Linked DNA regions of Saccharomyces cerevisiae S288C. The gene in region 1 interacts genetically with each later gene. Each region holds a gene or a part of one and is shown in the gene's direction. Other genes may lie near its edges. The genes, in order: OTU2, PAU9, YCR102C and YOL057W.

Evidence for each region.
Region 2: mutations in OTU2 (region 1) and PAU9 together harm fitness more than expected from each alone (negative genetic interaction), as found in Saccharomyces cerevisiae (one large-scale study listed by BioGRID).
Region 3: mutations in OTU2 (region 1) and YCR102C together harm fitness more than expected from each alone (negative genetic interaction), as found in Saccharomyces cerevisiae (one large-scale study listed by BioGRID).
Region 4: mutations in OTU2 (region 1) and YOL057W together harm fitness more than expected from each alone (negative genetic interaction), as found in Saccharomyces cerevisiae (one large-scale study listed by BioGRID).

What each region holds. Positions count from the first base shown.
Region 1 is NC_001140.6:71,470-80,125, reverse strand, and holds OTU2 (deubiquitinase OTU2), read left to right. Parts: upstream 1-1,772; coding exon 1,773-2,696; downstream 2,697-8,656. Other genes in the region: YHL012W (UTP--glucose-1-phosphate uridylyltransferase), read right to left, coding at 1-1,190; YLF2 (Ylf2p), read left to right, coding at 2,812-4,029; 40S ribosomal protein uS10 RPS20, read right to left, coding at 4,349-4,714; YHL015W-A (uncharacterized protein), read right to left, coding at 5,344-5,427; DUR3 (Dur3p), read left to right, coding at 5,882-8,089; YHL017W (uncharacterized protein), read right to left, coding at 8,252-8,656.
Region 2 is NC_001134.8:4,210-11,973, reverse strand, and holds PAU9 (seripauperin PAU9), read left to right. Parts: upstream 1-4,240; coding exon 4,241-4,369; downstream 4,370-7,764. Other genes in the region: putative Rab GTPase-binding protein SRO77, read left to right, coding at 1-1,127; MIX23 (Mix23p), read left to right, coding at 1,423-2,013; YBL111C (uncharacterized protein), read left to right, coding at 6,965-7,758.
Region 3 is NC_001135.5:299,962-308,844, reverse strand, and holds YCR102C (uncharacterized protein), read left to right. Parts: upstream 1-3,377; coding exon 3,378-4,484; downstream 4,485-8,883. Other genes in the region: seripauperin PAU3, read right to left, coding at 670-1,044; YCR101C (uncharacterized protein), read left to right, coding at 5,815-6,363; EMA35 (Ema35p), read left to right, coding at 6,624-7,574; YCR099C (uncharacterized protein), read left to right, coding at 7,546-8,013.
Region 4 is NC_001147.6:218,995-224,187, forward strand, and holds YOL057W (dipeptidyl-peptidase III), read left to right. Parts: upstream 1-1,772; coding exon 1,773-3,908; downstream 3,909-5,193. Other genes in the region: ARG1 (argininosuccinate synthase), read left to right, coding at 217-1,479; phosphoglycerate mutase family protein GPM3, read left to right, coding at 4,274-5,185.

The sequences.
Region 1 (8,656 bases):
CCATTTGAATCGAGATCATATAATGTTGATTTCAACAAAAACAAGTCCTTACATGTTCTTAGGGGTAAAAATCTGTCTCTTGATACTTTCAATACTCGACTGTTCGGAAAGAAGGCAATACAATCGACCAACTGTGTCTTAAATTGAAGACACTCTATCTCTTCATTTTTGTGTGTTATTTTACTTTCACTAGAATGAATTGGCAAATTTAAACTATTAGACTCTATTAGCACCTTTAGCTTTTTCAAATCAATCCAAATGTTATTAGTGTTGACAATTCGACACGTGCTTGCACTTTCATTGGATAAGCAGTTGTAATAAACCGATCGTAGTTTACCTTTATATGTTGCCAACACTCCAGTGTTTGAAACATTTGCAGTCCTTTCAACTACTTCAACAAGATACTCGATTTTTTCATTTATGATGAAATTTAAAATGTTCAAATCTCCTGTAGCGCCCAAATTGTCAACATTTGAAACAAATAAAATCTCTTTTCCTTGAGCAATTAATTTGTCCAATTCTCCTGAAAAATACAAAGTGTCAGTTAGGTTACCAGTCCCGCAAGGATACCAAAAATCATTTTCATGAGAATTTATTTGTAAATCGATAGGTAATAATCTATCTTTATCAATTTGTGGAAAGCTTGACTGAACTACGGTTTTCCATCTCACTTTGCTAGAAGAATAATGCTCTTCAAGGAAGTTTGATACTTGAGATTCAGTTTCAAGCGAGGTCATAAATATAAGAGGAACGTCTGAATTATATCGTACATTCAAATTTTGCGTTTGTCGAACTATTACATCCAATGAAGACATCCCATTTTTTACTTCGAATAAAGGGCTTTCTTTACCAATGATTGGATTAGCCTTTCCGGTTAATTTTAAAATAGCTAACTTTGATAATAGTTTACCCTCTAACAAACCGTAATTTTTAATATCATCGAGTTCAACCACTTCATCAATTATCGGTAATCTAATTTTGTCACAAACTAGATCATGGGTGATTGAAGTATTTTCTAAGACATATCTTTGAAAAATGTGCAAAAATAGGCTAAACTCATAATTCTTGTCACGTATCGAAGGAAAATGTTTCTGCAAGGCCCTTATCATTTGTGACATAACAACATCCTTTCCAATACCTTCGAAAGTACCTTCAAACTCTATTTTATTTACTCCAGAGAAAACCGTCATTGATCTTGTATATACTATGTAGAACAGTGAAATATTTTTCCTTTTTTTTTTTATTATCAAGAATCACTTGTGTCAGTTATCGTTAAATTCCAGGTTACAAAAAGATTGTAAATGCCAGGGAAAATACAATTCAAAAAAGTTACAGTATAGTTATATTTAATTACTTAAATTTACTTTTTTTACTATAAGGTGCTATTCCTGCATTCTTTTTTTAATTAATCAGGACTTATAAGCTGATAGTACTTTCATTCTTTTTTTTTTGTGTGATAAGGCCATTGAACATTATGGAAGACTAACTACTTTTTCTTCAAGAAAATTGTGTGCTTCTACTCTCGTTCAATACAGGAAATTTTAATTCCAACAGAGTGGAAATTTATGGTTTTCTTACCACAATAAATTTCTCAATTGTTAAAATCTGAAAAGTTGGCAGCCCTGGCCCTGTCAAAGAAAGTATTATTATGCGTCGCGAAATTTCTTTTTCTTCACGCCTTGTTTTTAGTTTGGGCATCTCGAAAGCATCTAATACAAAATCCAACTAAAGCACAGCATTCAATCTAGTAGAGAGAACAAGAGATATTCATCATGACCGGCATGGAATCAGGAGAGAATTTGGAAAACATGGAAGATATTTTGGCGAGACATCGCAAGGAAAATAAAGATTTACAGAATAAGATAACGGGTATGAAAAAGCAGGCTACTAAATCCAAAAGGAAAGAAGTTAATTCGAAATGCCTAGATCTTCAAGATAAACTAAAGACTAAGCAAGAAAATGAAATAAGGGATTGGAAAATTGCAAATAATGAAGTGTTTGACGCAGAACAAGAAGATGAAGTGACTCCTGAAAAACTTTTAGAACAACTATCCATATCTCGAGATGAGAAAGAACAACAGAATGTTCCCGTTCAACAACAGCAACAAGGCCAGACAAAGAAGCGTCGCAATAGACAAAAGGAAAGATTGGCCAAAAGAGATGCAGCAATTGCTAAAATGAAAGAAGAGGCTGCTTTAGAAGCATCCAAACAACCGGACTTGAAAAAAATGGAGCAGGAGTCTATAGATCAGTTATGCGAGTTGAAGAAACTGAAACAATTCGATATACAACCCGATGGCCACTGTCTCTTTGCATCTATATTAGATCAGTTAAAATTACGCCATGATCCAAAAAAACTGGATCAAGACATGGATGTCATGAAGCTGAGATGGTTGAGTTGTAATTACGTACAGGAGCACAGGGATGATTTCATTCCATATTTGTTTGATGAAGAAACTATGAAGATGAAAGACATTGATGAGTATACGAAAGAGATGGAGCATACAGCTCAATGGGGTGGTGAAATTGAGATTTTGGCTCTCTCTCACGTTTTCGACTGCCCCATTAGCATTCTGATGAGTGGAAGACCTATTCAAGTGTACAATGAATGTGGGAAAAATCCTGAATTGAAGCTAGTTTACTATAAACACAGCTATGCATTAGGTGAGCATTATAATTCATTGCATGATTCTTGATTTTTCCCATCCGTATCTAATGAGATATGCTTATTTGTAAACCTTAATGCATCTATTTAATTGTATAGTTTGAAGCATATGGATATAAAAGAATAAAGAGAAGTAATAATCGGATATGAACATTGGTGGAGGAAAATTTTTACTTGGGAGGATATCGAATAATCCAACTTCAGGGATAGTAGGGCTTGCTAATGTTGGTAAATCGACTTTTTTCCAAGCAATAACAAACTCAAAATTGGGAAATCCTGCAAATTATCCATTCGCTACCATTGACGCAGAATGTGCCAAAGTCAATATACCTAGCGTGCCGCTCTCTAATTTATTGAGAATATATCAGAGTGCGAAATGCGTACCTGGAACACTCACAATATATGATATTGCTGGGCTCACCAGAGGCGCATCTCAAGGCCATGGTTTGGGTAACAAGTTCTTAAACGATATCAGACACGTAGAGGGGATATTTCAAGTGGTGAGAGGATTCTTAAAGGAAGACATCACCCATATAGAAGGTAATGTTGATCCTGTCAGAGATCTATCCGTGGTACAAGATGAACTCATCTTGAAAGACTTAGAATTTCTGGAAAACATTAGGGAAAGACTTAGTAAGAAGATGAGAATGGTTTCGAAGAATTCTAAAGAACATCAGGAAATGAAGATAGAGACAGAATTATTAGATGCATTAGAGGAACATTTGTTTAACGGTAAAAAAATCCGGCATTTCAAAGATCATTGGAACCTGGATGAAGTCAAAATTTTGAATAAGCATAACTTTTTAACCTCCAAACCAACTTTGATATTGCTAAATGTTTCACCTCAAGATTACGTTAGGAATGAAAATAAATTTGTCAGAAATATTATAGAATGGATTAACGAATTTTCGCCAGGAGATAAATTCCTACTTTTCAGTGCAGAATTTGAATCGCAATTGATGGAATGTAAAGGCATAGCGTCAGAGTATTTTGACAAGATCAAGGAAGATACCAATGTTTCTGATCAACAGTTAGTTTCTGCGATACCGCAAATAATACTAGAAATGAGAAAGTTGTTGAACTTAATTAGCTTCTTTACATGCGGCCCACAAGAAGTTCACCAATGGAATATAAGGGAGGGAACCACCGCTCAAGAGGCCGCGGGTGTAATCCATAGCGACTTGCGTGAAACATTTATCAGCGCTGATGTAATAAAATATGACGATCTGAAGAAGATGGAACCACCGCTAAATGAGTCTTTACTAAAATCTAAGGGACTTATCAAACGTGCAGGCAAACAATATATTATGCAGGACAATGACATTGCCTTATTCAAAGCCGCCGGTGGGAAAATTAAGAAATAGTTTGTCATAAAAAATACTTGTAAATATGAATAGAAACGCTTGCTTTGTTTTGTCTTTTCCAATAATTACACAAGAATCAACAAAAGTATGAGATATATATATATATATATATATATATATTATATTTGCATAAGGTTTAACCACTGATAGTAAGACAGAGGTATATCGAGGAACTGTGTTTACCTAGAGTGGGCTGATTCTAATAGTGCAGCTATATGCGAAAATGAGAAAAAAGGAACCGCTGAATTCAATAATATATTTTGGTTAATGGACGAGAAAAAGAGGAATCTAATGGAAATTATTTCCAGTTAGAACCAGCTTAGTTGGAAGCAACAACAACTTCGACATCCACACCAGGTTCAATGGTGATTTGAGTGATTCTCTTAACGATTTGAACAGGAGCTTCCAAGTCGATGTATCTCTTGTGGATTCTCATTTCGTAGGTTTCCCAAGTCTTAGAACCTTCACCATTTGGAGTCTTTCTGGTGGAGATCTTCAAAACCTTGGTTGGTAGTCTGACTGGACCCTTCTTGACCAAGTTGTGTTGTTCAGCGTTCTTGACAATGTTGGAAGAGACGTTTTCCAATTGCTTAACCTTGGTGGAGGTCAAAGTGATTCTAATCTTGATGATTTGTTGTTGTTGTTGTTCTTGTTCTTCAACCTTTTCCTTTTGAAAGTCAGACATTTTGTATATACCTTTTTGTTTATTTTACTTGCTTTCTTGTAGGAGTTTCAATCTAAAGCTGAGCTTGAATGAAATAACCCATCTTTACTATTATTTTGAATTCAATACGGTCTATTACTCAATCTCTGAGGCTAGTCGCGAATGCGTCGAAGTTTTTTTTTCAAAATTAAAACATTATCGTTACCCGAACTTTATCTTCATAAAAATAGTTGTGGCATTTTTTCTCTTATGTTTACGGATGTAGAAAATGTACAGGTGTGAACTTGCAGGTAAACATTTTTACATTTTTACTTTTATCTTTTCCCCTTCTATAGAGATAAAAATAAGAAGTTTCAGGGAAATCTCTCTTTCCATAGTAAATAGTGTTAGCAGCAGACAAGACAAGAAGGATATCAATGACGATACGCATTTTTCCGAATGATCTGGTCAGATAATTCTTTTTTTCCCTTTATCGGGAGGTTTTGATGAGAAAACGATGTCAATAGTATTCTAGTCACAATAGGGAGCTAGACGGCTATTCAATCAGAATGCGACTATCCGGAGTTATCCTCAATGATAGACGTTTCTCCAGTTAGGAGCGCCAAGAATGTGTGAACAAAATGCACAAGGTGCAGATTTGGCGCTCTTTATCAGCGCTTCATACGGTAGATATGAACTTTAATTTTGAGATTAGCCAAGACCAAAGGTTCTCTTAAAGATGCAAAAGCAGTCATACAGGTATTTGTTTTATGCAGCAAGGCTGACTCAAACTAGGCATTCCAATTCTGTTTATCTATTGGTGCCGCACCTTTTTTCCGATGATGAAATGAGGCGGCGCACATTTGGGTGTTATCTTATCGGGATATTTTATGATAGCAAATGCGACAGACAATAATGCTCGAGAGTGGACAGGCCAATAGTCAGTTGCAGCATAGAAACAAGCAGGCGTACCTATGGGAAAGGTGTAACTCATCATTGCGCTTTCTACGGTACGGTTATCCTTAGATAACAGGCAAGATGTGCTCTATTCATCGGTGTTGCATGAAGATACGTCTTGTTCGCCAAGTATATAAAATGAAGCAGTAGTATAGCCGTAGCTTTACTATTGTTAGCAGTTTCCCTTGTCTAGATTCTTAAATTGGGTTCATCCAAGAAAAAGTAATAACATAAATTTGTCATTGTTATAGTATGGGAGAATTTAAACCTCCGCTACCTCAAGGCGCTGGGTACGCTATTGTATTGGGCCTAGGGGCCGTATTTGCAGGAATGATGGTTTTGACCACTTATTTACTGAAACGTTATCAAAAGGAAATCATCACAGCAGAAGAATTCACCACCGCCGGTAGATCTGTAAAAACCGGCTTAGTGGCTGCAGCCGTGGTTTCTAGTTGGATCTGGTGTTCTACATTGTTAACGTCGTCAACAAAGGAATATGCAGACGGTATATTTGGCGGTTATGCGTACGCTGCTGGCGCATGCTTCCAAATTATTGCATTCGCAATTTTGGCAATTAAAACCAAGCAAATGGCTCCCAATGCGCACACATATTTAGAATTAGTGAGAACAAGATATGGTAAGATCGGCCATGGTTGCTACTTGTTTTATGCCATCGCGACGAATATTTTAGTCACTTCAATGCTTTTAACTTCAGGTTCTGCTGTCTTTAGTGATTTAACCGGGATGAACACTATCGCATCATGTTTTTTACTGCCTGTGGGTGTTGTTGTTTATACTCTATTTGGTGGGATTAAAGCAACTTTCTTAACGGACTATATGCACACATGTGTCATTATCATCATTGTCCTCGTATTTGCCTTTAAAGTTTATGCGACTAGTGATGTTTTAGGCTCACCGGGAAAAGTTTATGACTTAGTTCGTGAAGCCGCCAAGAGGCATCCAGTAGACGGTAACTATCAGGGTGAATATATGACCATGACATCCAAATCCGCTGGTATTTTATTAATTATTAACCTGATTGGAAATTTCGGCACCGTTTTCCTTGATAATGGTTATTGGAATAAAGCGATTTCTGCTAGTCCCGCAGCGAGTTTGAAAGCATATGCCATCGGTGGGTTAGCATGGTTTGCAGTACCTTCTTTGATTTCATTGACCATGGGATTAGCATGTCTTGCGGTGGAAACGTCTCCGAACTTCCCCACCTATCCTGATCCACTTACTTCGTTCCAGGCAAATTCTGGGTTAGTCTTGCCGGCAGCTGCAATTGCTATCATGGGTAAGGGGGGTGCTGTGGCATCGCTGCTAATGATTTTCATGGCCGTCACATCTGCTATGTCTGCTGAACTAATTGCCGTTTCATCTGTTTTCACTTACGATATCTATAGAGAATATATTGATCCTCGTGCAAGCGGTAAGAAATTGATTTACACATCACACGTTGCTTGTATCTTTTTTGGTCTTGCCATGAGTGGATTTTCGGTTGGTTTATACTATGGTGGTATTTCTATGGGTTATATCTATGAAATGATGGGTATAATTATTAGTAGTGCAGTATTACCTGTCGTTTTGACCTTATGTTCCAAAGACATGAATTTGGTGGCCGCTGTAGTGTCGCCTATTTTGGGCACAGGACTGGCTATAATGTCATGGCTTGTCTGTACCAAATCCCTTTATAAAGAATTGACCGTGGATACTACGTTCATGGATTATCCAATGTTAACAGGTAACTTGGTGGCTTTGCTATCACCAGCCATTTTTATTCCTATTTTAACGTATGTGTTTAAGCCACAAAATTTTGACTGGGAGAAAATGAAAGATATTACTAGAGTTGACGAAACTGCAGAGTTAGTTCAGGCTGACCCTGATATCCAGCTTTACGATGCTGAAGCTAACGATAAGGAACAAGAAGAAGAAACAAATTCTCTGGTCTCAGATAGTGAAAAAAACGATGTTAGAGTAAATAATGAAAAATTGATTGAGCCTAACCTTGGTGTTGTAATAAGTAATGCCATTTTTCAAGAAGATGACACACAGTTACAAAATGAATTAGACGAAGAACAAAGAGAACTAGCACGTGGTTTAAAAATTGCATACTTCCTATGTGTTTTTTTCGCTTTGGCATTTTTGGTAGTTTGGCCCATGCCCATGTATGGTTCCAAATATATCTTCAGTAAAAAATTCTTTACCGGTTGGGTTGTTGTGATGATCATCTGGCTTTTTTTCAGTGCGTTTGCCGTTTGTATTTATCCACTCTGGGAAGGTAGGCATGGTATATATACCACTTTGCGAGGCCTTTACTGGGATCTATCTGGTCAAACTTATAAATTAAGGGAATGGCAAAATTCGAACCCACAAGATCTGCATGTAGTAACAAGCCAAATTAGTGCGAGAGCACATAGACAATCATCACATTTCGGACAAGTTGATGAAATAATTTAGCTTTCAAAATATAATATTCTATCCACTCATCAACCTCATTAATAATTTTTAAATAGCTCTAATTATAAAATAGTCTTTCATTATAGGTACATAAAAGAAAAGAAAGTCAAGGGGAAAAAAAAAAAAAAAAGGAAATTTCTAAATTTATGTTATTTGGTCCGTTTATGTAGTACTTCTATCATTTTTTGCATCTCTGTCGTAATCTACGTCGAACAATACGTCATTATTTGCGTTCGTATTTGCATTTACACTTGGCACTTCTTCAAAATCGGATGCTAAATCAATATCCATATTGTGATCGTGTTCCTGGTAGTCATTACGTGGCTCTCTATTAGGCAATGCCTCATCAGACAAGGAATTTATGTCATCTAAATCGAATTCTGATACATTTTCCATGTCAGTTGGTAATTGATGCGAGCACGCTAGTAAATATGATGTACTTGTAGGTCTCCAGAAGAATGCGAAAATGACGAAGACCAAGAAGTAAACGAAACTAGGCCAAGTATCTGTGATGAGGAATTCTGTTTTCCAATATTGTTCTATCATGTCAACAGTGTCCATACCGAC
Region 2 (7,764 bases), on another chromosome or scaffold:
AAAATATTAGGGTCATTTCTAAAGCTGGTAGCTCTTACGTTTCAACCGTTCACTTTTGCGTCATGGAATATGGAGATGATGGGTTCTCTAGTATTTTGATGCTATGTGGAACGGATATCGGGGAATTGATGACTTTCAAAATACTGCCTGCAACTAATGGAAGATTTGAGGTTAAATTCACTGATGCAACAAAGACCAACAATCAAGGAAAAATTCTAGGAATAAATTCTTTTGCCAAAGATACTGGCTACAGTTGTTCTGCTACTATATCAAAGATGCAGGGTTTAAGCAAGGGTATCGCAATACCTGGATTTGTTACTATCAGTGGCGCAAATGACATTCGTTTAGTATCACCAGGTAAATCTAAGGACACTCATGCGCTTTTCAAGTATCCAATTGCCACTAGTGGATTATCATTTATTCCCATTATTGACGGTAAAGGAGAAAGAAAGCTTTCAACTATTATGATCGTTTTGCTAATTAATGGAGATATTAAAGTTTTGACAGTACCTGAGCTTAAGGAAGTCAAAAATCTACGCTGCCCGGTCCCTCTAAGCGCTCAATACGTTGAAAATTCATCTATATTAGAAAATGGTGACATTGTCATTCGCACAGGGAAATTCCAAGCCTCTTTGATTTCAGTACTTAATGAAAGTGCCACCGGAACGAATCATACTGCTGACATATCACAACATACTCCTATTGATACCTTGTACAATCCTGATTTAAAGATTGGTTATAGGCCTCAAGTGAATTCCTTACAATGGGCTAGAGGAACTATTTATTGCACACCATATCAACTTGATGAGCTACTGGGCGGTATAGAAAGGCCCGAATCGAAGTATGAGGAAAGCGCAATTGCTCGAGGATGCATATCTTCCAGTAGTAGTAATGCAGCCAGAAAGTTACCTCCCGGTACGGAAGATCACAGGTATGCCAGACCTGTAAGAAGCTCTGGAAGAAGTAATGGATATGGTGTCCTTAAAAGTGTTTCTAGGGCAATTGAAACTCGTTTAGACACGGTAGAAACCACTATTAATGACTATGCAACCACAATGGGACAAACCATGAATGACGCAATGGAAGAAACGGGAAGGGATATGATGAAGAGCGCTGTAGGTTTTTAGTCCATAAATAGTTTTTATAAAATTCGATCAGGTTGCCCTTGCTCGCATAAGAATTTTATCAGGCTCTAGACTCTAAGATAGGAGGCTTGAAGCGATTTTGTTGTTGATAAGTGAAGTTTTACACTATTCCATATTGTAGTTTACTTTTGCTTGTTACCCAGAATCGCCTATATATTCACTTTTGAACGTGACGGTAATTTTGTCCGCCAAGTTAAATATCCTTTGGGTAGTTTGAAAAACTTGGATATAGTTAGAAAAAAAACTTCTCATTTATACACGTAGACAAAAAGACGGTATGGTTGATAATAGGCGTACGTTTACGGCACCCCAAAGCTTACTTGAAACAAATCTTACTTTTCCGAATGATGAACCGTCACTTACTACAATCACAGTTACGCGAGAAAGATGTGTTGATCCAAGCTTGATAGATTCATTTTTGAGGTTTCTAAGGCATGGAAGTGATGATATAATAAGACAAAAATTAAACAACTATAGGAAAGGCTCTATTAATGGAAAAAATAAGTGTAAGGAATTTTTGAAGCAAGAACTATATCCGAACTGGCAAATACGGAATAATATAATTTCATTTTGCGAAAAAGAGGCAGCAGAGATGAAGAACGAGACCGATCAGCAGTGCGGTAATAATAAAAAGACTACTGCGGAACCACTTATAGACGCAAGAATTGATCCTTACGCTGCAAGAGAAAGAGCGGAGAAACAGGAAGCTCAATATAAGGATTGGACGAAGGTGACAGAGTGGGTGGCAAATAATAGAAAAATAGAACAAATTTTAACTTCTACAACAGAGGGCATTTTAAGGCAAAACTGCGAGCAAAATAATGACTACTTGAAGGAGTTTACGCAATTCTGCAAGGACAACAGTTGAACGCCCTATTCTTCTAGTCCGCTGAAAGATTATATCACTTAAAGATTCTTGTACATAGGAAGTATACTTATTATCGCCTTTCGTTTATCTGTATTTGTTAAAAAATATGCTCCAACTTGTGTAGTGAAAGAGATTTTTTTGCTAAAACCATTATTGCTGGATGCAAAGGACGCCATGAAGAAAAACTTACTTAGTGAGCCGCTTTTTGGCTTATTAATAATTCTTCTTCTCAAACTGCAATTGCATTTCCCTATTATTCTAGTTAATAGTACGTTAAATCATCAAAAAAAATACTGAAGGATGCGAGGTTCGAACTCGCGCGGACAACCGTCCAACAGATCTTAAGTCTGCCGCCTTAGACCACTCGGCCAACCCTCCACGAATTTTCTAAACCTTTCCGGTAACCAGTTAAATACCCTATTTTACCCGAATCCTCAGAGTCTGTGAATAATTTAATAATCTTTGAGATTCCATTGTTGGTAAGGGTTATACTGTTATGTATACAATTTACTAGAAGCTCTCGTCGATGGTATTGGTGTAGAGAATGTGGATTTTGATGTAATTGTTGGGATTCCATTGTGATTAAGGCTATAATATTAGGTATGTAGATATACTAGAAGTTCTCCTCCAGGATTTAGGAATCCATAAAAGGGAATCTGCAATTCTACACAATTCTATAAATATTATTATCATCGTTTTATATGTTAATATTCATTGATCCTATTACATTATCAATCCTTGCGTTTCAGCTTCCACTAATTTAGATGACTATTTCTCATCATTTGCGTCATCTTCTAACACCGTATATGATAATATACTAGTAACGTAAATACTAGTTAGTAGATGATAGTTGATTTTTATTCCAACAATTGGAATCCTCAAAATGGAATCGGTATTTCCACATAATAGTATTACTACTTTTTTTTTTTTTTTTTTTTCATTTATACTTTGTCATTCAGTATCCTGTTACATTATCAATCCTTGCATTCCAGCTTCCATTATATTTGAAGACTGTTTGTCGATCTTTATGTCATCTTCTTTTTCGGCATGTGATAATATACTGGTAACTGGAATACTACTAAAGGAATGATATTTTAGAGTTTCATCCCAACAATTGAAGAGACGTGACTAATGCTATGTTAAAAAATATGTGGCAGCTAATAACATCATACCATCCTATCATAATATTGTTATCTGTCGTTGCAAACTGCAGATGTGTTTGAAAATGACTTTTAAGTATGTGCCCTCGTTGCCTTTTGAGCGTAAAAAAAGTCACTTACTCCTGCAGAGGGGTTAACTACGCTATAGACGGGCCTTGACACATTTCATAAACACATATTTTCACATGTCAGGAATTTTCTTAACTATGCACTTTTGACGCCTTGCGTATGTTTATTCTATTTACAGCTTTGATGATGCGTACAAGTCTCTAGAATCTAACAATATACGACTCCCTGCACATGGTTGCTATTTTTTATTCAACCTTCAGGAATGAGTAACAAAGATGTTGCTTTGCATGGAAACCGTTTAGGACACACCAAATGATGGCTTAGACAGTAAGCTTCTGAACGAGGGTCCAAATCTAAAATTCGGATATTCTTTTTGACTGAAAACGGAAACTTAACAGGCGCGCAAAAGGGTTTTTCAAGGCACCCCCCGGCACCCCTATAATAGGCATTCCCACATTCTGCGCATACGAATACACATGAGTGCCATAAAACAATACTCCACATACGAAACCTATGAAAGATGTATGATTCGTTCAGAAACAAGAGCATCTCCATAGAGATAATGAGATTGTGTGAAAGATGAGATATGGAGAATATGTGAGGTGCTAAATGAGCGTCTGTTAACGAATCGTTTAAGTAGTGATGACAGATGGAGGAACGGGTATAAATAGAGCTGCTTCAACTATATGCCTTTGAGGTATGCGCTTTCATTTCACTATTTCTTGTTAAGATTACATCAGCACTAACAAACAAAACAAATACAATGGTCAAATTAACTTCAATCGCTGCTGGTGTCGCTGCCATCGCTGCTACTGCTTTCTGCAACCACCACTCTAGCTCAATCTGACGAAAGAGTCAACTTGGTGGAATTGGGTGTCTACGTCTCTGATATCAGAGCTCACTTGGCCCAATACTACATGTTCCAAGCCGCCCACCCAACTGAAACCTACCCAGTCGAAGTTGCTGAAGCCGTTTTCAACTACGGTGACTTCACCACCATGTTGACTGGTATTGCCCCAGACCAAGTGACCAGAATGATCACCGGTGTTCCATGGTACTCCAGCAGATTAAAGCCAGCCATCTCCAGTGCTCTATCCAAGGACGGTATCTACACTATCGCAAACTAGGGAGTGATGCCTTTACGAATGAAAATCCATAGACAGTGAAAAGTAATGAAAAAATAAAATAAAAAACTACTTTTTTTGATGATATAAATACCGCCGATTATATAAATGTATATTAATATTATAAACCTATTTGATCAATGACGGTGTTCGTGAAGCATTTTATGAATACGATGAACATAAGAAAGAAACTTTTACACTATTGTAGAAAAAGCGTGGACGGTAATAAAGCTAACAGAGTATGTCCAATAAACAATAATGAAATTGGAAGCGTATGACTTCGCAGCACTTTGTCCTTCCATAAAAATGAGTCGCTGCTTCTTTTTTCATTTTTTGGCGCGTCGCGTCGGGCCATATAGAGTATGCGTCACTTCTAAGAACAAGATTGCAGATCAGGGTAGTGGAGTTACAAGTCATGGTACCAAACTCTCATTTGGAGATCCTCATTTTTTGACACCTAAAATATTAAGATTTATGGTTTGGGATAGTTTGTTGTAACTGTAACTAGAAATAAAGCTGAGGGGTTAGTGTTTTATCAACAATAAGATAGAGGGTGGTAAGATGAAGTGAGACAATATCGTAACGTCCGTTTTAGTATACGGCGCTGATAAGTTATAATATAGTAGGGTTATTTGACGTTTCATTATAATTCTACAAAAACAACGTACATATCACTGTATCGTCTTCTTTAGATATAGTCTCTTCGTATGAGTAGTGTCACATACAAGATTAAAGATGCATCAGTTATGCTTTTAGGATATTGCGGATAGCATATGAGAATGGAAATAGGATACAATTGTATCATAGCACCGGCATGAGTTTGAGCCACTACCGTATTGTTTCTCGGTGAATATAGAGTGTTACGACAGTGAGGTGGCATATTATTCTAATGTATGGTCTGTGAAAGTTAGAAATATTCTGAAATGGTATCCGTTCAAGCAAATGGTAATATTAAGGAACTTTTACGTTAATGACGTCATGGTGGTATAGATACGCAATTGAGTGTGTTTATTTCGTAAAGTTGAAAGATAAATAATTTTTATGTTTAGGTGATTTTAGTGGTAATTTTTTGGTTATATTGGCATAAGTGTATATAATTTGAGTGGTTAGTATATGGTGCAAAAGTGGTATAACGTATGTATTAAGAGCAGTTATACAATATTTGGGCCCGCCGAATGAGATATAGATATTAAAATGTGGATAATCGTGGGAGTTATGGGTAAATGGCTCAGGGTATAGACCGCTGAGGCAAGTGCCGTGCATAATGATGTGGGTGCATTTAGTACTGATTTAGTGAGAGATGGGTCATGGAGTGGAGTAGAATGTGAGAGTAGGGTAAGTTTGAGAGTGGTATATACTGTAGCATCCGTGTGCGTATGGCATATCAGTATACAAGTGAAGGTGAGTATGGCATGTGATGTGTGGTGGTATAAAGTGGTAGGGTAAGTATATGTGTATTATTTACGATCATTTGTTAACGTTTCAATATGGAGGGTAGAACAACAGTATGGTGAGTAGCAGATGGTGGATGGTAGAGTAATGGCAGGGTAAGTGGTAGTGAAGTTGAATATGGCTAATTGGAGGGTAACGGTTATGGTGGACGGTTGATTGGTGGTAGTAAGTAGAGGGATGGATGGTGGTTGGGAGTGGTATGGTTGAATGGGACAGGGTAACAAGTGGAGAGGTAGGGTAATGTGAGGGTAAGTTGAGAGACAGGTTGGAAGGGTTGAAATAGGGTAGGGTTAGGGTAGTGTTAGGGTATATATATATGTCACTGTATTGCATGCTGGATGGTGTTAGACAAGGCCGTAGGGACATATAGCATCTAGGAAGTAACCTTGTACGAAAATAGGCAATATTTCCTGTTTAGGCGATTGTGACGCAGATTTTAGTCCAACGATCTAGCGTCAAGGAATTTTTTTATAGTGGGACATTGCACCAAGGAAGTAACTTGATACGTCGTGGGTGAATGGGTCTGTTTTCTTATTCGGCGGGGTAATACATTTTTGGGGGAAGTTTGTCTGTCTGACGCGCCATATGTAGGTACGCCAAAAAGGGCTCCTCTACTTCGAAGCGCGAGGTCGTATACCTAATAAGGAAATGTAATTTATAACTTTTTATTATATTGGTCTTTTCGAGAGCGGAACGTAGGTCCATGTTTAAAGTATCCAAGAGAATATCCACGAAGCGGCTGAGCAACGAACAGAATCCTGGTTCTCCTCGACTAAGCAGATAGTTAAGATACTGTGCACCATGGAAATTGAAAACGAAAGTACGTACCGACTACTTTATTTTTGCAGGCCGGAAATCAAGCGATGAATGAGACATCCTTCTGTTTTCTATGTTGTGCTTGAAGGGGACAGACAGTCGCTTATCTTAGTGAGATTTCTTATTAACTGAATTTTCTTTGCTGCTGCTGGAGATTTGCACCTGCATAGCGCAGATTCTGCTTCTTCTCAATAGAGTAGCTTAATTATTACATTCTTAGATGATGATAAGACGGAAACTGGACAATCTTTTGTTTATATTGATGGATTTCTTGTCAAAAAGCATAGCAATCAACATACTATTGTTAATTTCGAAACTTACAAAAATAAAATGAAAGTTTCCGATAGGCGTAAGTTTGAAAAAGCAAACTTTGACGAGTTTGAGTCGGCTCTAAATAACAAAAACGACTTGGTACATTGTCCCTCAATAACTTTATTTGAATCGATCCCCACGGAAGTGCGGTCATTCTACGAAGACGAAAAGTCTGGTCTAATCAAAGTGGTAAAATTCAGAACTGGTGCAATGGATAGGAAAAGGTCTTTTGAAAAAATTGTCGTTTCCGTCATGGTCGGGAAAAATGTACAAAAGTTCCTGACGTTTGTTGAAGACGAACCAGATTTCCAGGGCGGACCAATCCCTTCAAAGTATCTTATTCCCAAGAAAATCAACTTGATGGTCTACACGTTGTTTCAAGTGCATACTTTGAAATTCAATAGAAAGGATTACGATACCCTTTCTCTTTTTTACCTCAACAGAGGATACTATAATGAGTTGAGTTTCCGTGTCCTGGAACGTTGTTACGAAATAGCGAGTGCCAGGCCGAACGACAGCTCTACGATGCGTACTTTCACTGACTTTGTTTCTGGCACACCTATTGTAAGGAGTCTTCAGAAAAGCACCATAAGGAAATATGGATACAATTTGGCACCCTACATGTTCTTGTTACTACACGTAGATGAGCTATCGATTTTTTCTGCATACCAAGCAAGTTTACCTGGCGAAAAGAAAGTCGACACAGAGCGGCTGAAGCGTGATCTATGCCCACGTAAACCCACTGAGATAAAGTACTTTTCACAGATATGTAACGATATGATGAACAAAAAGGACCGATTGGGTGATGTTTTGCATGT
Region 3 (8,883 bases), on another chromosome or scaffold:
GGGATTATTGCAAATGTTCGCCCTTCAACTCTTCCTTGCTTAACTGATAATTGAATCAAACCATTTCCACTCCACCCCTGAGAAAATTGCAACAAATAACACCGCCTTATCCTACAAATCTTTAGTTATTACCTCCTTAACACTATCCTTACTTTAACACTTACTCCATTTTCTGACTAATAAAAACATATACACACATAAGTAGGCACAGAAATGCAAATATTCGTATAACAGGAGACGAAAATTCAATATGGTTACTCTGACTTGTCGCTCGCATAGTCCCTGATCTACAGCATTAATCCAAAAAGAGACATGTGTGTAAACAACTCCGGGCCAACACACTGAAAAATAAAGAAATCAATTTATTTTCGTGGGAGAAATAAAAGCAACAGAGCCAAACGTATCAAACTTCAGCACTACTCATTAAGAATATATGCAATAATACTGGATAGCACTTTCAACTGCTTCCCCAGAAGGATAGCCTAGAAGAAAGTTTCTTTTCCGTTGTTGATGCACCTAAATAATGTCGTCTTGATCAAATATAGGCTTATAGTATTGATATATGTTTATATAGTCAACTGTATTTATATCAAAAAAAAAAAAAGATTTTTTTTTTATTCTTTCGTTATTTTTCAATGTCTATGGAAGTTCATTAGTAAAGGCATGTCTCTATTTTGGAATAGCAGTGTAGATACCGTCCTTAGATAGAGCACTGGAGATGGCTGGTCTCAATCTAGTGGAGTACCATGGGACACCAGTGATGACTCTGGTGACTTGTTCAGCTGGAATACCAGTCAACATAGTGGTGAAGTCACCATAGTTGAAAACAGCTTCAGCAATCTCAACTGGGTAGGTCTCAGTTGGATGAGCTGCTTGAAACAAGTAGTATTGAGCCAAATGAGCTCTGATATCGGAGACGTAAACACCCAATTCGACCAAGTTGACCCTTTCGTCAGATGGAGATAGAGTGGTAGTGGCTGGGGCAGCGGCAATACCGGCAGCGATGGCGGCAACACCAGCAGCGATTGAAGTTAATTTGACCATTGTATTTGTTTTGTTTGTTAGTGCTGATGTAATCTTAACAAGAAATAGTGAAATGAAAGCGCATACCTCAAAGGCATATAGTTGAAGCAGCTCTATTTATACCCGTTCCTCCATCTGTCATCACTACTTAAACGATTCGTTAACAGACGCTCATTTAGCACCTCACATATCCTCCATATCTCATCTTTCACACAATCTCATTATCTCTATGGAGATGCTCTTGTTTCTGAACGAATCATACATCTTTCATAGGTTTCGTATGTGGAGTATTGTTTTATGGCACTCATGTGTATTCGTATGCGCAGAATGTGGGAATGCCAATTATAGGGGTGCCGGGGTGCCTTGAAAAACCCTTTTACGCGCGCCTGTGAAGTTTCCGCTTTCGGTCAAAAAGAATATCCGAATTTTAGATTTGGACCCTCGTTCAGAAGCTTATTGTCTAAGCCTAAATTCAGTCTGCTTTAAACGGCTTCCGCGGAAGAAATATTTCCATCTCTTGAATTCGTACAACATTAAACGTGTGTTGGGAGTCGTATACTGTTAGGGTCTGCAAATATGTAAACTCTCGGCGAATGCCTTGGTGCAATTACGTAATTGTAGCCGCTGAAGGCGGATGGTATTGAGAGAAGTTGATGTTCAAAGTATCGTGTATGATAAAAATAGAATTGTAACCAGTTCGTAGTAGCAGTATTAAAACTTTGATTCCGAGATGTAATCCCTCTTTTCTAGCCAGATATGAAGGAAAAAAGTGTAAGGGTAGTTGAGAGCGCTACTTTATTTTATTCTATTTTAAAAATGTTCTCTAGGAGAGGTGTATTAATAGTTGGTACTCCATGTAGCTTCTAAGTCAAAAGAAATGTCTCTATCTTTATGGTAACGGTTCATCGTTAGAGCTCAATTGTGCTTCTTGGATGTATTTCCAAAGTCCCACGTTTAATAACCCACACAACATAAATGTCCTTGAATATAAAAAATTTCGAAAGCTCCCCGTAAAGAATGCTTGATAATCAGCTCCATCAAAGAAATACTTTTTGTTCTTCCAAACTTTTCCTCTCAGCAAATACATATTTATTTCCTTTGCAACCACTTTCTAGAGAATTCATAATAGTTGATAAAAAAGGCATTTTGTCTTCTATGTTCATAATTTCAATTCTTGAATTTTGGAAATCGTGAAATGTTTCGAGAAACCGCCTTCAATAATTAGAAAACAAAATAAAAGATTACAGTTAGGCCACTCAAAAATACAATTCAGATAAGAAAGGTGCGATAGTGGGGAATAAGAATTGGAAATCCGCTTGATAATCAGGGAAAACTTAAAGAACGGGGTGTTAAAAGTCTGTGAAGTATAGATCAAACTCGCACTAGCTAGCAATACTCATGAGAACCTAGGTGAGTGTAAAGCAGTGAACCTTCTTTAGAAAGCAGAGAAAAATCCTCCAAGTTAACAGTCTTCCATACTTACTCAGTATGGATCAAGTTCCACAGTTTGTCCACTTCTGTAGAATAAACTTGTAGTGCTTTTCCGATGAAAAGGGATAGAGTCTTTAAAAGACTTGATCTTGGCATTTTTATCCTCCTTCAAGCAGAATGGCTCCAGTAGAGTTGTTCTGAACGCTTCTGGGCAGTGAGCAGCATTGAAGAAAAAGTACTCAGCATTCCAAGCTTTGTCTTCATATAATTATAAATTAAAACTCATAGCCACCAATTTCCAGGTTTTGGTCGCAATATGCTGCAGAATCAATGGCTTGTTTCGTTACTATACTGGTCCGACGGAGTTTACTTTACTCTAAATTTGCTGAAATAGCAAGGCCACACGCCATACAATTAACAATAGTTCATTCAGTTGAAAGGTTTCCGAGATAGAAAGTGCGGTAGTAGAGAAGAACAATAAACGTATCAAACTTTGCGCAGTCATGGAATTTCCAGGAAACATTTTTAGGTTTTCATATGACAGCAGTTCCTGTCCGAGAGCTGTGCCTTTCTTGTCTCAGCTGACTAAGATGTCTCGGATCCGCCCGGCTGGCGCGCGGCTCCGTCTAGTGGGATAGGCTTTCAACACATAGGAAACCCTTCAGATGATGAGAACACATCGAATCCCAGAGAGTAATATCACCAAGAATAAAGCAACCATGATAGACAATATTACTAAGTGTTCCTCAACAGATATTGAGAAAAGTTCTTATAAAGCGGGCAGGCTTTTTTCTATTTTTTTCTTTTTCTTTATCTAGCTTAAGATCCTTCTAACCATATTCTATAAAATGGCAAGCTGAATACAGATTATCAACGACAATTACATATAACCTACAAACAGGCAAGTTGCAATTCCAGAAACCATGAAGGCTGTCGTCATTGAAGACGGTAAAGCGGTTGTCAAAGAGGGCGTTCCCATTCCTGAATTGGAAGAAGGATTCGTATTGATTAAGACACTCGCTGTTGCTGGTAACCCGACTGATTGGGCACACATTGACTACAAGGTCGGGCCTCAAGGATCTATTCTGGGATGTGACGCTGCCGGCCAAATTGTCAAATTGGGCCCAGCCGTCGATCCTAAAGACTTTTCTATTGGTGATTATATTTATGGGTTCATTCACGGATCTTCCGTAAGGTTTCCTTCCAATGGTGCTTTTGCTGAATATTCTGCTATTTCAACTGTGGTTGCCTACAAATCACCCAATGAACTCAAATTTTTGGGTGAAGATGTTCTACCTGCCGGCCCTGTCAGGTCTTTGGAAGGGGCAGCCACTATCCCAGTGTCACTGACCACAGCTGGCTTGGTGTTGACCTATAACTTGGGCTTGAACCTGAAGTGGGAGCCATCAACCCCACAAAGAAACGGCCCCATCTTATTATGGGGCGGTGCAACTGCAGTAGGTCAGTCGCTCATCCAATTAGCCAATAAATTGAATGGCTTCACCAAGATCATTGTTGTGGCTTCTCGGAAACACGAAAAACTGTTGAAAGAATATGGTGCTGATCAACTATTTGATTACCATGATATTGACGTGGTAGAACAAATTAAACACAAGTACAACAATATCTCGTATTTAGTCGACTGTGTCGCGAATCAAAATACGCTTCAACAAGTGTACAAATGTGCGGCCGATAAACAGGATGCTACCGTTGTCGAATTAACTAATTTGACAGAAGAAAACGTCAAAAAGGAGAATAGGAGGCAAAATGTCACTATTGACAGAACAAGACTGTATTCAATAGGCGGCCATGAAGTACCATTTGGTGGCATTACTTTCCCTGCTGACCCAGAAGCCAGGAGAGCTGCCACCGAATTCGTCAAGTTCATCAATCCAAAGATTAGTGATGGGCAAATTCACCATATTCCAGCAAGGGTCTATAAGAACGGGCTTTACGATGTTCCTCGTATCCTGGAAGACATTAAAATCGGTAAGAACTCTGGTGAAAAACTAGTTGCCGTATTAAACTAGATGACGAACAGATATTATTTTTCTTTTGTATACACAGTTATTACGTATGTTAGAGTGACTTGGTTTTTTTTTTTTTAATGAAATTGTTTGTTATTGATCACGCCTTGTAGGGGAAACAGATGAGAACAGTGAAAATCATAACTCATTATGTGATTTGTTGTGCGTCACCCTTCCATGATTATATATCCTTACTATCTACTATCCAACTACTACATATCTATTGAACTCATATGTACCAAGCACATAAAATTATGCACCTATTTCCATTGGCAAAGACTTGGCGAAATTTAATACACTGTAATAATATCCGGCGAAGCTCTTTAAGAATTCTTACCTATAATAGCGGCTCGCTGTCCGAACGATTGCGCCGCACTTTTCTGCCTCTTACATTCCCTTTTCCTAAGGCGATAAGCAGGCTGAATGGAAACTACGATATAACGCAGTAGAGGTCCCCCAAGAGCTGGAAAGAAAATATTGGTTTGATAGCCAGCACTATTCTATCCAGTGGGCTCTTGTACCATTTTCTGTGGTATGGCTTTGATTCAACTGCATACGTAGTTAACGCGATCAGCCGCACATGGGCATTATCATTTTCAGGGGTACTGGTAAACCCTATTGTTTAGAAAGAATACCTGGTAAGCGGGTCTGTCGAGTCTTTCCCACTAATTTTGAAGAAAAAATCTTTACCTAGTTTGAGAATAATCGTGGCGTTCGTAACATCACGAGGTGAGAGAGACCAGTTAGGTAAGGGTATGCCAATAAAAGGTTATTGATACTTCAACGAATCTTCATATTAAAAGTGCCTTCACCAGAATAAAATTCTAACGTCATCCTAAAAAGCATCAATTGGACATAGTGAGGGAAAGTTTTCACCATTTAAAATCTATTCTGCAGAATACCATTCTAGACTATGATCCCTTAAAGATTCCCATTCTTTAAATATACAAATCAGGTTCAACAGCGTATCTTTATGGTATTATCGTACTACTGGCGACATTAGCAAATCCAAGTATCCTAACTAGGTTTCTAGTCTTATCTCTTGGTTTTCTCCATTAGATGGTAAACACGTTACCTTGATGGCTGTACAGGAAGTGAACATGGTCAACTCAAAGTCACCGGACTCAAAATAATTGCAATTACCTAGACTGGATATTTTTAGAATATTATGAGAATATTTTTAGAATACTTGCAACCCAAAATATATTTAAATGCCGCCAATTTGCAACCAAAAGATTATCCGCTACCTTTTTTTTAGTCATTGAATTGTAGCATAAAGTTCCGAGCTTTGAAAAAAAACTTTGAACTAAGAAAAGGTAAGAGATCCTCAATTATGATATTACTTCATGCCATATATACTCTTTGGGTAATTATACTACTTCCGCTACTCAATGCAGAGAAATTTGTCCCAAAAGTAACGGAGGCTCCTATAGAAACATCATTTAATCTAGTGAGTTTTGATGATTCCAACACTTCTATCAGATTAGATGGTTGGGGGGTTGTATGGATAAGTTTCGACGCTGGAGAAAATTGGGAAACGGTCAAAGAAATTGAAGAGCGCATTTTCAGATTTACTGTTGATCCTTTCCATGGACAGGAAAGAGGTTTCGCTTTTATATGTGAATCACCCAAATTCTACATTACCGACGACCGTGGGGAGTCATGGAGGGCTTTAACTATACCCTCATCAGAAGAATATTTAGATGGCGACTGTTTTATAACTACTCATCCTAGAAACAAAGAACTTCTTATTGCGAATTGCTATAGCTATATGATAGACGCAGACGTTTTATATGACCCAAGTGAAATTTACTTGAGCAATGATGGGAATCCTTTTTTAAAATTAAACCTTCCTTGGAAAAGAAAAAAGACGACGATATAACAACTTAAAGCTGTCATTTCATTAAGTCTAGCAAGGATTCTGACTTTACTGGTAATGATACTTCGATACTCTGTTTGTTCTCTAACCGTGAATACGATGAAGAATATCGCTTAACTGCTACCTACACACAGTTGGCTTTCAGTAGTGATGGAGGCAAAACGTTTAAAGATTTTGATGAATTTAAAGATAAGATTGTTACTCAATACAAGATATTGAAGTCATATGTGGTCGTTTTAACGCAAGATGACGGGCATAACGAGATGTCATCTACGGACATCTGGATATCCAATGATGCATCTACTTTTCAAAAGGCACAGCTGCCTACTCAATTACGGCACGTCAAAGTGATTAAAATTCGTGAAGATTCTATCGGAAGGATCATCCTTCTTATATCGACAGAAATCACAAATGAGGAAAATGCTGATCCAGATCTCTCAGAGATTTTCATATCAGATTCGCAAGGGTTGAAATTCTCACCTGTTGAATGGACACCAAACCATCAGTTTGGAAATTTTAGGCTCACTTTTCCTGATTTCTTGAAAGGGACAATATTTGGATCGTTTCATCCTTCCATTGACTATTCTAATCACCAAGTAAACTATACTGAAAATATAGCCGGAGGAGAAACCAAAATATCCGTTGATAACGGCCTCACATGGTCAAATTTGAAAGTTGTTGATGAAGAAAATGCCGATTCGTTCGGCTGTGATATCACTAGGCCTGAGAGATGTTCACTTCAGGGTTATTTTTACAATCTAAAACTTTCAAATCCTTCTGCTGGGATCATATTAATGACAGGTTCTGTTGGCGATGACAATGAATTCGATCGGAAGGACCGAAAAACTTTCATTTCTAGAGACGGTGGTCTAACATGGAGGGTGGCCCATAATTCTTCTGGATTATATGCTACTGGTGATCTGGGAAATATTATTGTATATATCCCGTCTCCTTCATATAAAGATGGTGATGTACAATCCAAACTTTATTTTTCCTTGGACCAAGGTAGAACATGGAATCAATATGAGCTTGTTGACGCTTTATTTTATATCCATCCATTAGAGTTGATTAATACAACGCCAGATGGATCAGGCTCAAAATTTATTTTAAGCGGACATCTCATTACTACGGCTAGTCAAGAAGGAAACAACACCAACATCTCATATATTGCAAGAAGTGTCCTGTATGCGATCGATTTTTCTGCTGCATTTTGACTATAAAACGTGTGAAGAGGAAGATTTCGAAGACTGGAATTTGGCAGATGGGAAATGCCTTAATGGCGCCAAATACATGTATAAAAGGAGGAAACAGGACGCCCGTTGTTTGGTAAAAAGGACATTCAAAGATATGATTTTGCATGAAATACCTTGTGACAGTTGTACTGAATCCGACTACGAATGCTCTTCTGAATTTGTTAGAGATGCAAAGGGTGACTGTATACCAGATTATGATCAGATTGCCCTTTCCGATATATGTGACAAAGCTAATGGCGAAACTGTATCATTAGAGCCATTACAATTAATTAAAGGAGATAAATGCAAAAAGCCCATGGAAATTGAGGCCATGAACATTCCATGTGAAAAAATCCTGAGGGAGAGCTCGAATGGTAAGAAAATAGCAACCATTGAAAACAAGTTTGACTTTGAAATTTAATTTTATCAATATTTCGATACAGTTTTGGGTGAATCTTTTATCATGCTTAAGTCAATAGAAGATGCCTACATACCTCACGATATGATGAATAAACAGTAAAAATGTTCGACACTGACGACAAAAAATTGACACTATTCGGGACTGATGTCATATAGAAACATAAGGTCTTACTATTTCGTTAATTTATTATTGTGATATGTATTTACAGTGTAATATGAAGTTGTGTTTAAACTATATTTTAATTCCAGGGTTTATTTGTTTGGCTCTATGAGTAACATTTTCTCAACTCAAGACAGAGGATGCTTTTCTATGATGGCTAAATTGCCTGAAACCAGACAACTAGGCATGCCACCAGATTTTGGTGATGAAAAATTGTGAATCAACCTTAAATCCAGAACATAATAGTATACCTTACCAAAGATGGTGGCGGAACGTTTACATAAATGCTTGGTAATGCAGTTCATTCTGGGTTAGCGGGCTCATTTTTCAAAAATCCGTCAAATGGGGATATTTGCTGTATGCTAAGTAAAGGAAAAGTTTTCGCCATCAGACGACTTATATGAAAACGCCAACGAATTATCCAGTTTCACGAGTCAAGGCGGTAATTTTGAAATCGAACAAGAAGATGCTCACACGCCTGAACGAAACACATGTCACAGATAACCAAGACTGTCTCTAGCAACATTCCAGACGCATTGCGAGCTCGAAGTTCCGCTCAAAAGGTTGATTGGCAGCAGCACGCATCGAAGACAAGTGGGTAATCTTTTTTACGCATAATAAATGGCTGTGTCTATTTTTTATTAAGAGAAGTAAGCATAAGGATTTTCTCAATATTGTCCATTATCCGAGGCCTCCATTACCTTTGTATGA
Region 4 (5,193 bases), on another chromosome or scaffold:
TGCGTAGCGGCAGATAGTGTAATCTGAGCAGTTGCGAGACCCAGACTGGCACTGTCTCAATAGTATATTAATGGGCATACATTCGTACTCCCTTGTTCTTGCCCACAGTTCTCTCTCTCTTTACTTCTTGTATCTTGTCTCCCCATTGTGCAGCGATAAGGAACATTGTTCTAATATACACGGATACAAAAGAAATACACATAATTGCATAAAATAATGTCTAAGGGAAAAGTTTGTTTGGCTTATTCTGGTGGTTTAGATACCTCCGTCATTTTGGCTTGGCTACTAGACCAAGGCTACGAAGTTGTAGCTTTCATGGCTAATGTAGGGCAAGAAGAAGATTTCGATGCCGCCAAGGAAAAGGCCTTGAAGATCGGTGCCTGCAAGTTCGTTTGTGTGGATTGTCGTGAAGATTTTGTCAAGGATATTCTATTCCCAGCTGTACAGGTCAACGCTGTGTACGAAGACGTTTATCTGTTGGGTACCTCTTTGGCAAGACCTGTTATTGCCAAAGCCCAAATTGACGTCGCTAAACAGGAGGGCTGTTTCGCGGTCTCTCATGGTTGTACCGGTAAAGGTAATGATCAAATCAGATTCGAATTGTCATTTTACGCTCTGAAGCCAGACGTTAAGTGTATTACACCATGGAGAATGCCTGAATTTTTCGAAAGATTTGCTGGCAGAAAGGATTTGTTAGACTATGCTGCACAAAAGGGTATTCCCGTCGCCCAAACCAAGGCCAAGCCATGGTCTACTGACGAAAACCAAGCCCACATTTCTTACGAGGCAGGTATCTTGGAAGACCCAGATACCACCCCACCAAAGGACATGTGGAAATTGATCGTCGATCCAATGGATGCTCCGGACCAACCACAAGATTTGACCATTGACTTTGAACGTGGTCTTCCAGTCAAGTTGACCTACACCGACAACAAGACTTCCAAGGAAGTTTCCGTTACCAAGCCTTTGGATGTTTTCTTGGCCGCATCCAACTTAGCAAGGGCCAACGGTGTTGGTAGAATCGATATTGTAGAAGATCGTTACATTAACTTGAAATCCAGAGGTTGTTACGAACAGGCTCCATTGACTGTTTTGAGAAAAGCTCATGTTGATTTGGAAGGTTTGACTTTAGACAAAGAAGTCCGTCAATTGAGAGACTCATTCGTCACACCAAACTACTCCAGATTGATATATAACGGTTCCTACTTCACCCCAGAGTGTGAGTACATCAGATCTATGATCCAACCATCCCAAAATAGCGTTAACGGTACTGTCAGGGTTAGACTGTATAAGGGTAACGTCATCATTCTGGGCAGATCTACAAAGACTGAAAAGTTGTACGATCCGACAGAATCCTCTATGGATGAGTTGACCGGTTTCTTACCTACCGATACCACCGGTTTCATTGCCATCCAGGCCATTAGAATTAAAAAATACGGTGAATCCAAAAAAACCAAAGGTGAAGAGTTGACTTTGTAAGTCCGCTAGTTCATCGCCTCAAGATAGATAACGATCTCTTCCTCCACCTCCTATTTCTGCACACTCTTGTGATGTAAATACATATGTAGACATATGTAAGCTTTTGTATAAATAGTTTAAGAAAGCATCATACCAATTTTGAATAGAAGAAAAAATAGCTAAGAGCATAGCCGCTCGGAATAAGTTGACGTAGCGAAAAATCCCAATATCGTAAAGGAAAAATACCTTCATGAGAACAGAACATTGAAAAGAAGAAAAAAAAAACTGAGCACTGCACCATTAAGTCCTCAAAGATGAGCCACTTTTTCGCCGATCATGATGCTCCTCTGAGCATGCTTTCTGTTAAAACAGAATACTTTCCTCAATTGACTGATAAGGAACAAAAATATGCGCATTTCATGTCAAAGGCCTCCCATGCGGGTTCAAGGGTTGTAATGAGACAAGTTTCTCATGAGAGTGAGCCAATTTTTGACCTAATCCTTGCCATTCATTCAAAGCTAAACGGCAAGTACCCAGAGGACGATATTACGCAGAAGCAGCAAACGGGTTTGTATTTGGAATACGTTTCTCAATTCTTATCTAATTTGGGTAATTTCAAATCGTTTGGTGACACTAAGTTTATTCCTCGTTGTGAGGTAAAATTCTTCAAACAGCTTTTGGAGCTGGCCAAGATTAATCCGTGTTCTTCTCCGCTCACTTTATCTCCTGTTGACGTTAACCATGAATTCACATCTCATCATCTTTTTTCCACCATCAATGAGCTAATTGATATTGGTATTTACCATGTGGAAGAGAAGGCGGCTCTCTTAGGGTTTCCCTCTCAAGGTTATACTTCAGCCTATTATCTGGGTTTACCTGTGACACCTGAAGATATGGCTCTTTTGAAAGAGCAGTTGTTTGCTGAACTTGCCATCTTGCCTGAAAACACAAGAATCAACAAAGTTGGTGAAAACAGTTTCCAAATCTGGGTTGCCTCTGAGAATGTGAAAAACCAGATAACAGAAACCTACCCCAGTGGACAGATCACATTATCCAATGCTGTAACCAAAGTAGAATTCATTTTTGGTGATCATTCACGTGAAATGCGTTTAGTAGCATCGTATTTAAAGGAAGCTCAAAAATTCGCGGCTAATGATACTCAAAAAGCAATGCTTCAGGAATACATCAACCACTTTGTCACTGGCTCTTCTCAAGCACATAAAGAAGCACAAAAACTTTGGGTCAAAGATATATCTCCCGTCATTGAAACAAATATCGGTTTTATCGAAACATATAGAGAACCCTCGGGCATAATTGGAGAATTTGAATCGTTGGTTGCAATTCAAAACAAAGAACGTACTGCTAAATTTTCCAGCTTGGTTAACAACGCAGAAGAATTCATTTCCTTACTACCATGGTCTAAAGATTACGAAAAACCGATTTTCAATCCACCAGATTTCACCTCTCTAGAAGTATTAACGTTTACTGGATCGGGTATACCAGCGGGCATCAATATTCCAAACTATGATGATGTTCGGCTTAAAATTGGGTTCAAGAATGTTTCTTTGGGGAATATCTTAAGCGCGGCTGCCAAAAGCTCATCCAAGCATCCGCCAAGTTTTATATCGCAAGAAGATCGCCCAATTTTTGAAAAATATCAAAGTGATTCTTTTGAAGTCCAAGTAGGCATCCATGAATTATTAGGACATGGTTCAGGAAAGTTGTTGACAGAATTTACAGACGGCTTTAATTTTGATAAGGAAAACCCTCCTTTAGGTTTGGATGGGAAACCGGTGAGCACATACTACAAAGTTGGTGAAACTTGGGGTTCCAAATTTGGACAGTTAGCTGGCCCATTTGAAGAATGTCGTGCGGAAGTAATTGCCATGTTTTTGCTTACTAATAAGAAGATTCTTGATATTTTTGGTTTCCATGATGTCGAATCTCAAGATAAAGTGATCTACGCTGGATATCTACAAATGGCCCGTGCGGGTCTCCTAGCTTTAGAATACTGGAATCCAAAAACTGGTAAGTGGGGACAACCACACATGCAAGCAAGATTTTCTATCATGAAAACATTTATGAAGCACTCTACAGATAAGAATTTCTTAAAGTTGGAGATGAACAGCACGAATGATGATTTTGCCATCAAGTTGGATAAATCTCTCATTAAAACAGCGGGACATGAATGTGTGAAAGACTATTTAAAGCATTTGCATGTTTACAAATGTTCAGGCGATGTGGAACAGGGAAGTAAGTACTTTATTGATAGATCAACGGTGACACCGGATTTGGCGTCTTTAAGAGACATCGTCTTATCTAAGAGATTGCCAAGGAGACAATTCATACAATCGAATTCTTATATTGACGACAATAACAAGGTAACCCTGAAAGAATATGATGAAACCCCACAGGGTATGCTCCAATCTTTCCTTGATAGAGAATTATGATGTCCTTAAGAGCACACGTTTTAATTAGCAACCTTTGCTGTTGCTTTTGTTCAAGCTATTAGATTATGTAAACAGATATATATTATGTAAGTGTGACAGGATACGACAGCACTAACTGTCAGCGAATTTTGATTTGTTACTTTTGCTAGTTTTGTGTGACTTTCCTTTGTTTTTTAACTTTTTTTTTCAGATTTGTATTATGAGATGATAACAATGCGAGATTTCATTGACAAGTTCGATAAAACAATAGAAGCTTCCATTTTATACATATGTGATAAAACAACCTGCAATCGAGGATTTACAATAAAAGTCTCTTTGAGAGGATTGAGAAATAGTGCAAAAAGATCTACTAATAACGAATAGTTATGACTGTTACTGACACTTTTAAACTGTTTATTTTAAGGCATGGTCAAAGTGAATTAAACTCAGAAAACATATTCTGCGGATGGATTGATGCTCAATTAACGGAAAAAGGGAAGTCTCAGGCCCGCCACTCTGCAAAATTGATCAAGCAGTTTTGCGATTCTAACAATATCTCTTTGCCTCAGATTGGCTATACTTCAAGGTTGATTCGAACTCAGCAGACCATGGACGTTATTCTCGAAGAGTTGGGACTAAAACACACCAATTATGTAATTACTACGAATACAAACATTAAGGAGGAGCTGCAGGACACAAGATTTGAAGGAAGTATGCCTGTGTTGCAAACCTGGAGGTTAAATGAGCGTCATTACGGCGCATGGCAAGGACAAAGAAAGCCAGATATCTTGAAAGAATACGGTAAGGAAAAATACATGTATATCAGAAGAGATTACAACGGAAAACCCCCTAAAGTCAACCTAAACCTGGAAATGGTCCAAGAGGAAAATGATCAGGGGTCCTCCACAGGCTATGATTTTAAGGAGCCCAATAGACACTTAAAATACGGCCCCGAAGAGAAGGCTAATGAGCGTCTGCCAGAAAGTGAGTCTCTTTGTGAAGTGGTCGTCAGATTGAAACCATTTTTAAATAATGTTGTTCTGTCTACCGCCAACAAAATCAGTCAAGAATCGTGTGTTATAGTTGGGCATGGCAGCTCTGTAAGATCTCTGCTGAAAGTATTGGAAGGTATCTCAGATGAAGACATCAAAGATGTCGATATTCCCAACGGCATTCCGCTAGTTATAGAGTTGGATAGAGACAATTACTCTTTTGTGAGGAAATTTTACTTGGATCCAGAATCAGCTAAAGTTAATGCTCAAATGGTTCGTGATGAGGGTTTCGAAAAGAATCCATGAATAGTTTT